Linked DNA regions of Mus musculus. The main gene of each other region encodes a partner of the protein of the gene in region 2 in a complex. Links are inferred from orthologs where the notes say so. Each region holds a gene or a part of one and is shown on either strand. Other genes may lie near its edges.

Evidence for each region.
Region 1: Gatb (region 2) and Gatc share a complex: the UniProt entries of both Homo sapiens proteins name them as parts of the heterotrimeric GatCAB amidotransferase (AdT) complex. The link is inferred for Mus musculus from reciprocal best matches to the Homo sapiens genes GATB and GATC.

Annotation. Positions count from the first base shown.
Region 1 is NC_000071.6:115,338,067-115,342,613, forward strand, and holds the start of Gatc (glutamyl-tRNA(Gln) amidotransferase subunit C, mitochondrial), read right to left. Parts: upstream 3,096-4,547; 5' UTR 3,084-3,095; coding exon 2,776-3,083; intron 1-2,775. Other genes in the region: Triap1 (TP53-regulated inhibitor of apoptosis 1), read left to right, coding at 3,205-3,351. UniProt on the Homo sapiens protein: Allows the formation of correctly charged Gln-tRNA(Gln) through the transamidation of misacylated Glu-tRNA(Gln) in the mitochondria. The reaction takes place in the presence of glutamine and ATP through an activated gamma-phospho-Glu-tRNA(Gln).
Region 2 is NC_000069.6:85,572,487-85,576,943, reverse strand, and holds the start of Gatb (glutamyl-tRNA(Gln) amidotransferase subunit B, mitochondrial precursor), read right to left. Parts: upstream 2,816-4,457; 5' UTR 2,801-2,815; coding exon 2,625-2,800; intron 1,081-2,624; coding exon 930-1,080; intron 924-929; exon of another isoform or gene 1-923. UniProt on the Homo sapiens protein: Allows the formation of correctly charged Gln-tRNA(Gln) through the transamidation of misacylated Glu-tRNA(Gln) in the mitochondria. The reaction takes place in the presence of glutamine and ATP through an activated gamma-phospho-Glu-tRNA(Gln).

The DNA.
Region 1 (4,547 bases), on a different chromosome or scaffold from region 2:
AAAGGTAGAATACTTCCTTTGCAAAAGGCTTGATGAGGCTGGAGAGATGGCTCAGCGGTTAAGAGCACTGACTGCTCTTCCAGAGGTCCTGAGTTCAATTCCCAGCAACCACATGGTGGCTCACAACCATCTGTAACAGGATCCGATGCCCTCTTCTGGTGTGTCTGAAGACAGTTACAGTGTACTTACATAAAATAAAAAATTTTTTTTAAAAAAGAAAAACTTGTTTTTAAAATTTGTGTGTGTGTGTGCACACGCGCAACAGTGCATATATGGGGATCTGGACAACTTGGAGGAGTCGGTTCTCTCCTTCCACCATGTGACGTGGGACTCGGGGTTTGAGCTACGATCATCAGGCTTGGCAGCAGGTGCCTTTATCCACAGAGCCATCTAGTTTTTGTTTTAATAAAGTGTTGAAGTATTTGGCTGCAGTGAGATGTTAGTGAAGCTGGTCTCTGGATTTGCTAAGACGGCAAAAGGGGTATTTAGGAGTTACTACATGGCCTGTCACAGCATTACTTGAGAGTTACAGGGTTGAGTCCCAGGTCCTGGCTTTTCTTGTGAAATTCTAAGCCTGCTTCTTGTATGAAACTGGCACTCTACCTCAGAAGTCATATAAGTTGTATAAGATAACTGGACACAAACTCCTAGCCCAAGGCACTGCCACACTAAGGCTTTGTAGATCAACCCAAATAATACATTGTAAATGTGTAGACAGACTTCTACTAGCCAGTCGGGGCTTTGGCTGCAATCATGGCTGTTGCCTAAGACTGCTGATCACCTATGGATCACTAGGATGTTTTGAGTTCAGACAAGCATTTAAAACACTCAAGTCACCAGGCGTGGTGGCGCACACCTTTAATCCCAGCACTCGGGAGGCAGAGGCAGGCGGATTTCTGAGTTCGAGGACAGCCTGGTCTACAAAGTGAGTTCCAGGACAGCCAGGGCTACACAGAGAAACCCTGTCTCCAAACAAACAAAAAACAAGTCAGGGGCTCAAGAGATGGCTCATGAGCTAAGAGCATTTAGCTATTACAGAGGGTCTGGGTTTCGTTCCTTGTACCAACATGGAAGTTCACACTTCCTGAAACTGCTCTGGGAGCTCTCACAGGCACCCCCTTCCAACCTGTGGATTCCTGCACACATAGGCATAGACTTGCAGGCACATACATTTAAAGATTAAAAGCACATTCAAGTCTGGCCTGAGATGCTGGGATTCATGAGGCCTATTTTTTTGAAGTCCTATAAATGTCATATTAAAATGACTTGTCGGGTTCATTAACCTAAAACGACATAATTTATGGTAAGAAATTCAGGCCACTGAATGACAAGCTCAAATTTGATCCACACCATGACAAAAATACTTCTTGTCTTTTTTTTTTGTTTGTTTGTTTTTGACTCCTCCCTTTGTAGCAACTGCATTTCTTTAGTTTCTCCTAGAAGACAGGAAATCCTGACTCTTGAAAAAAATTACAATTCTAAAATTTTGTATGTGGCAGAGGTATGTACTATAGTGTGCCTGGGGAGGTCAGAGGAAAACTTGTTAGAGTCTATTTTCTGCCTCCACCATGTGGGTCTTAAGGAGCAGACTAAGATCATCAGAATTGGTAGCAATTGCCCTTACCCGCTGAACCCACTACCACCACCACCACTGCTGGCTCTTTAATTCTATTCTCTCCCCCAAATAAATTAATGAGATGTTTATTTGAGCATTTCCCAAGTATTTACTCAGTGCTAGACAAAAGAAAAAAAAATCCAAACATGATTCATGCTATTTGGATAAACAGAAGGGGGAAGGCAGAGAACTAACATTTAAGTAGATATGCTGTGATTAGCAGCGCTTTTGAATACCAGTAGAACCATATATTTTTTACTGTATAAAGGAATAAAAGAATTAATGGCAGTCGACAACTTAAGAGAGGAGAAGTAGGTGGGATAAGGAGCTGGTAAAAAGCAAGGACTGAAAATTGTGGGGAAAAAAGTAACAGGGAGGGAGAAGTCAAGAAGCTGAAAGAACTTGACAGTGTTAGCTTGGAGAGATGGGGAGGGGCTGTGACAGCCGAGGACCTGAGGACCTGAAGACCACGAGCACGTGTCGTGAAGATCTTGGGTGGGAAAATGACATCAGGTATCTGATGTGAATTACTGGGTAATATTAGGCAAATAGTGTTAACCTCTCTGGATCTGAGCATCAGATCAAAGACCCGAAGGTGAGAAGGACAGGAGACTAACAAGATTTAAACTTTGCAAAGCATTTCAGTGACTTCATGAAACCAATGCAATGGGTGGTAACACAGCAAGATAACCTTGGGTTCAAAGCCATTCCGCGAAATTTTAGCCAGATTCTGTCTTAAAAAAAAAAAAAAAGCCATAACTTGTTATTTGGATATCTCGTAATTAGCATATGAACTGACTTGAGGTTATACATATAAATAGTGTTTGACTTCTTCAGATATTTAATCAGATGCTCAGGAAGGCAAGTGAAAACACTTTAAGGAAATAAACCTGGTTTGTAAGCCAGTCTAGGCTGGAGGGTACTGAGGGGACAGCACCCCCGAGAGGGCGGGTAAAGGGCTCTTTGAAGTAAGGGATTCTCGGACTTGGTTCCTATTTACATCGAGACTGAGAAGACTAGAGGGTTGTAAACGAGAGTGACAGGATCAATAATGAACTAGGGGAAGAGTGAAGCCATCCTCGCGGAGACTGGACAAATTTCCAATTATGCAAAGGACCTGAAACAGCCTCAAAGGTCCGAGACCGCAGCCGGGAGTTTACCTGTCCTCCAGTACCGACTCTAGGGGCTCCACACCGTCAGTGTCCACGGCGTGCAGCTGATCCGCAAAGGCGATGGCTTTCTCTAGCCGGTCCACCGCCTCGCGGCTGCCGAAGTTCACCAGCGCCAGTCGCTCCAGATGCTCGATTACCGCGGGGGACACGCGACCGCTGCCCTGGGGGACGAGACGTGGAGCCTGGGTCCCCAGCCCCGCCGCCTGGACCTTTCCCTGTGGATTCGCTTTGGAAGCAAAGCTTCGGCCCGCGTCCAGCGGGGCCCGAAATCGCACACTCGCGGCCCGTGACCACATTTCTTTTGCTTCTCGGCCCCCGTAGGGACAGACGGTAGGGCGGCGCGCGCGCGGGGTGGGGGTGAGGGGGTGTGTGACGACATCAGAATGCGTCGCCGTCACCGCAGCTGCCATCACCGCCATGAACAGCGTCGGGGAGGCTTGCACTGACATGAAGCGCGAGTACGACCAGTGCTTCAACCGCTGGTTTGCTGAGAAGTTCCTCAAAGGGGACGGCTCCGGGGACCCGTGCACCGACCTCTTCAAACGCTACCAGCAGTGCGTGCAGGTGAGTCTCGCCCGGCCTCGCCGCAGCAGCCTGCCCTCCTCGGCCATCCCCCGAAACCGCCAGGCTGTCTCCACTTGACACACCGGGATGCCTTTGCGGTACTTTGCTTTATACAGAGTACATTAGTATTTTGTTGTTATTGCTCATTTATTTGGGATTCATTCCAAACGTGCAAGTAGCTATCATCCGTATCTTTAAAAAATTGGCGTGGCCGGGCGGAGGTGGCGCACACCTTTAATGTCCTAGCGCACGGGAGGCAGGGGCAGGCGGATCTCTGAGCTCGGGGCCAGCCTGGTCTACAGAGTGAGTTCCAGGACAGCCAGGGATATACAGAAAAACCCGGTCTCCAGAAAAAAAAAAAAAAATGTGTTCGCGTCTGCAATAAGGGTGGAGACAACTTCCGGGAGTCAGATTACTCCTTTCACATTTATATGGGTTCTGGGAATAAAGTTCAGGTCACTAGTCTTGGTGACAAGGCGTTCTATTATCTATCTATCTATCTATCTATTTTTTTCTATTATCTATATTTTACACATGGAAAAACTAGCAGTCAGAAATAGGAAGTGAATGGTTCAAAGGAACTAGAGTCTGATGACCTTGCTTATTTTGGTGGTGCGTCATTTCATTGTTATTAGGAGTGGATGGTGTTCACAGTTTTCTAGACCTAAGGTAAGGCATTGCAGAGGTCGCCTGTTTTGTTGCGATCTTTTCATTGCTCTGTTTTCCTCCGCCAATTACCTGTTGTAGCCAGTAAGATTTGATTTCAGACCAGCACTTCAAACTTAACCTAAAACTACCTCTCCATTCCAGAAGCTACCTTTAGTCAGTTCTCAGACAGGGATGGTAACTCAAGGTCACAGAGCCGATTCGGAGTGAACACTGTCACTAAGATAGAGATAGGCACCTGAACTGACCTTCAGGCCTCACCTCCCAAGAGCAGGTGTTCATACCACACAGGACTTACATTACAGTCTGTACAGTGGCACTGTTTTGTTAAAACAGGACTAAGCCGTACTCACTTTTAATCCTAGGATTCAGAGGCAGGCAGGGTGTGTGGGTCCCAGAATAGCCAGGGTTACAGAATGAGACCTTGCCTCAAAAAAAGGGTGCCCAGCTGGGCAGTGGTGGTGCATGCCTTGAATGGTGGGTTTCAAGCCCGTCCAGTTCAGTCTGGTTTACCTCTGTACCATTACACC
Region 2 (4,457 bases):
CATCTGAGAATACAGAACACACTCCTAACAGTCCCTGTCTGTGATATACTCATCATCATAACCCTGTCTACACATGCTCCTGAAGATGGAAACTCCATTCCCATTTAACAATATAAGATTCCTGAACAGAATGGGAGCCACATTCTAGCTCAAATATTTACAGTGCTCCTTCCATCTTATTCTTCAAAATGTAACTCATTCCTTAAAAAGACCACACTAAAAGTCTTGCTGATGGTGATGCTGGCTCAGTTGCCTCTTAGGATCAAGTGAAAATAAGTAGCTAAATCGATAACCAACTCGCTTTTATACTATAGCGCTCCATTACTGACTGCTTCTTAGATGTCAATAACTGAGATCACATTGCTCTTACACTGTAAAATCACATACTACATGTTCTTTTCTTGGGTCCTCCCCACTCCTCCATGTATCAGTCTAACTCCTACTTGACTTCTCAGTGTGGACACCACGTTTTTATTCCAGACATTCCTCCTTAACTAGATACACCACTACAATTTCTCACAATACTTCCTCTTGCTCAATTACATGTCCCTCCTTTGGGTTCCAAAATTACTCTTTGCACACTGCTTTTGCAAGAATTATCATATTGTACTCTAATTGTTTGTAAGACATCAGCTCTGTCCACCTTTAAACTCCTCCTAAAGCAAGATCTTTGCTTGTCTGCATTAGACAGTTCTTATCAGCATCTGGTATTTGATAGGCATTTGAAAGCATTTGTGAAAGGAGTGAATCGATGCTATGAATACACTCAGATTTAGAAACAGAATTATAGAGACATGTCTTTATAAACAATTAATGCATCATGCTTAATTCCCTAATCATGCAAAATTCCCTAAGCAAGTAGTTCCTTATCTATATTCACTATGACATAAACATTTTCTAATGTAAACAGACAGTATAAAACACCTTACCGGTAATGTTCCAGGCAGAGATGCATCAAAATAAGAAACCAGAGAATTTGGAGGTGCTGCAAAGCACACTTGAGCTCCAGAGAAGAGTTTAGAGTTGGAGGAAATCTGTGCATGAATTTCCAGTCCTACTACAGCTGCCCATTTGTGTTCACTAAAGGGAAGGAAAATGGTTAAAACGTTACATTTGTCGCTAAATATAAATTCTTATAAACCTATATTTCCAATTATAATCTTGTGTTTTAAATTAAAATTTTATATGCTTATATTTTAAAATGTGTCATTTTATTGGTGAATAAACTAAATGTACCTTATTAGTTAATAAACACTAAGTAAATGACTCAGTAAATAATAAAAGCTTATCTTATCATTATTTGGGTTTAATACAAATGCCAGGATTCTAGTTCTAGAGAAATGATGGCTAAAGAATAAATTATCGCCCATATTTTGAGTTCATTGTTAAGAGCTTGTAGCTACAGAAGCAGGATCAGATACCATAGACTACCACAATATGGTATTCCTTAAAACCCGTGAAAAAGAACAGAAAACCATTAGAGGAAACTTTGTTTTCATCCACCAAGTCCCATCCAGTTCTTGAGATCTAAACTTAAATTTTTTTCATTTGTTCATACTTCACTGCTAGCAAATCTTTGTAAATGCTTACAGTGATATACTGTCTCTTATCTGAACAGCCCTACTCTGGTGAGCCAGTACTCCACTCTCTTTGGGGAATTAAATTCTCTATTCCTATGTATGTTCCTAGTCTTCACTTCTCCCTAGACATTTTCTATATTAGTCAGATTTTAATTCATGTGCATTCAGTTTTGTTTTAAGCAGTTCAACAGATGAAGGAATGAGAAAAGATTAATTCCTTCTTTCTAAAATTTGATAATAAAGCTTTCAAGAGAGAGGAAATAAACTAAGAAATTCAGAAATTCTGCATGTTCTAATTGCTAATCGAAGTATTTCTGCAGTTTCATTTCGTGGAAAGAAAATAGTCTAGTTTATGAAGAGAATAGAAAGGTGATGATTTTGGACATTTTTCTTCTCTTCTTCACTGAAATGCTAAAAAGAATGCCAACCTCAACAAAACAAAACTTTTTTAAAAATTGCCTTGTTGCTGTATTTTAAAAGAAGCTTTAAATCATGTACACGGAAGCAACTAACTGCTGTACAACATAAGCAATTCTTTATATAATCGGGGAAAGATTTCGTCAGTCGACTAACATCCTCCTGGGGTCTAGACAAATATGCCCACAATAAAACCACAGATAGCTAGTGCTTTCTGACTAATAAGACCTCTCCTATCTGGGGCTTTGTACAACGGCTATTTTCTGTCTTTAAATTATTGCTAGCCTGTAGTGACGCCAAATGCCCGCTACATACGAGCCAGAGTCTAGTGTCGCAGACCCCACACGAGTTAGTAGGGCAAAGTATTCCAGTCTTCTGTCTGAGAAGACGACTGGAGGAAACGCTATTTTACATTCGCACGTTGTCCAAATATGCCTACTTTAAGACAGAAGTTTTAAGTGTGAGGCTGAAGGTGGCAGGCCTGGTTTTGTGTTTTCATTTAGGTTCAGTTGCCCATAACACAGGTGACCACCCTCCAGCACACTAAAACCCTCAGGCTGGGCTGCCGGGGCCATTATCTTCGTTCTGCACTTCCACGAGACAGGCAAAAGTACGAAGAAGATATACCCTTTCCTCGGCTTCTGAGCCGTGTGGAGGGAAGGCTGAGCCACTGAACTCTGTCTCCTAGCCCAGTTGGATGTGGGCCCAGTCTGAGAGCCACTTCGGTGGCGGGAACCGCCATCTAGCCATGTTAAAGCCCAGCGTCTTCCAGGGAAACCCAAGCGCAGCATGGGCGCCGCCATAGCGTCGCCGAAGTCCCGGTCAGGTGACCCACCCTCCCTCTGCCGCGAGGCTCCCTGGGAAGCGTAGTTCTGGCAATGCGCCACAACCCGTGTAGCTCTTGACCGGAAGACTACTGTTCCCAGCAACCCAATTCAAAGGCTGCCGGAACTTTGTTAGGGAGGGGCGGAACCAAAGAAGTGGGAAGGTTGGTGGGTCCTGTGTGACTCCTCCTAGCGGGGAGTTGGAGAGCTTTGTGGCGGTAGAGCTTGTGTGTACTTTGACAGCTCTTTGAGGGAGCGCCAAGCAAGGAAGCCTCACCAAGGATTTTATACTCAGCTTAAGCCCGTGAGTTGAAACAAATGACCCTAACATTACCACAAAGGCTTCCTGGACCCTCCAACGCTTTTATTTTTTCTGTCTTGCTCGCACACCTCGCACACAAATTTGTGCATTATTTCAACTGATACTTATTTGCATGCCTGCTATATATACCTAGTTCAATAATAAGGCAGCATTGATATGCTAGAAAGAAAGACTTTGGGGATGTTATATTTTAAAGAATTGACATTTTAGGGAGAGGAACCATACAGAAAAACGTTTTAAAAATTGTTTTCATGTCCGAAAAAAATTTTTAAACTTTTATGTGCTTTTTACTTACTATTTTTCTTAGCCAACATCTGAAACAATTTCTTGTGTTAGAAAGCTTTGATAGAAAAAAAGACATCACCTCAATGGATTTCTTTTGTTGTTTGACTTCAGAACTCATCTTGGACTGGGCATATCCCTCAGTGGTACAGCATTTGCCTACCATGTAGAGATGCTAGGTCCCACCCTCAGGAAGGCAAAACCAAGCAGAGCCTTTCATATCCCTTGTTGAAATTCCAGGTGATTTTTTTTTTTATTTGAAAACTTAGTCTACAATAGTTCTTACTTTCATTGCCTGATTTTAATTGTCAACATAGTCTTAACAGCTATCTTTGATTTCAATGGATCCTTGTCTGGTATTTACCATAGTATTTCCAGAGTACAGAGTAGGCGCCTCAAGAATATATGAAGTAGTACAGTGCAGTGAATGTATTTGACAAATGGGGGCTGTTGAGAGGGTATGTTCTTTAGAAACGCAATAACAGATTGGGGTAGTGGTGAAGGGTAAAGTAAAACATATGTTTCTGGGAGATGTGCAAGGTGAGATTGAGGGACCTGATCGAGAGTTGGAGGTTCTGTACCTGCTCCTTGCTGACAGGTCCAGGACAGAGGAGAGAGGTCCCTGTCCCTCTGGGGTCTCTCCAGGGCTGAGCAGGATGGCGAGTGTCAACGGCCCAAAAGAAACACACAGAGTTGGGAGTCTTGTTGAAGCAGGAACTCAACTTTATGGAGTCAGCCTCTTGCTTATATAAGTTTGGAACATAGGGAGGCGGGTTTTGGTGGGGTAAGATGGCGTAGTGACTGACAGGGTCAATGGCAAAGCTCTACATCAGCAACGACAGGGCAGAGGCAGGGCCAAACAGGTCTTGCTGAGTCACCCCAATATGGAAGTGACTGAGACAGGTCTCAAAACTTGAGCCAGGCTTAGGCTCTCCCACAAGGCCGCAGAAACTCGAGCCAGATTCGAGTTTGTCCTCAAGGCCCAAACCAGGGCCAAAATGGGGCCCAACAGTTCTGACTTATGTGTGTAGT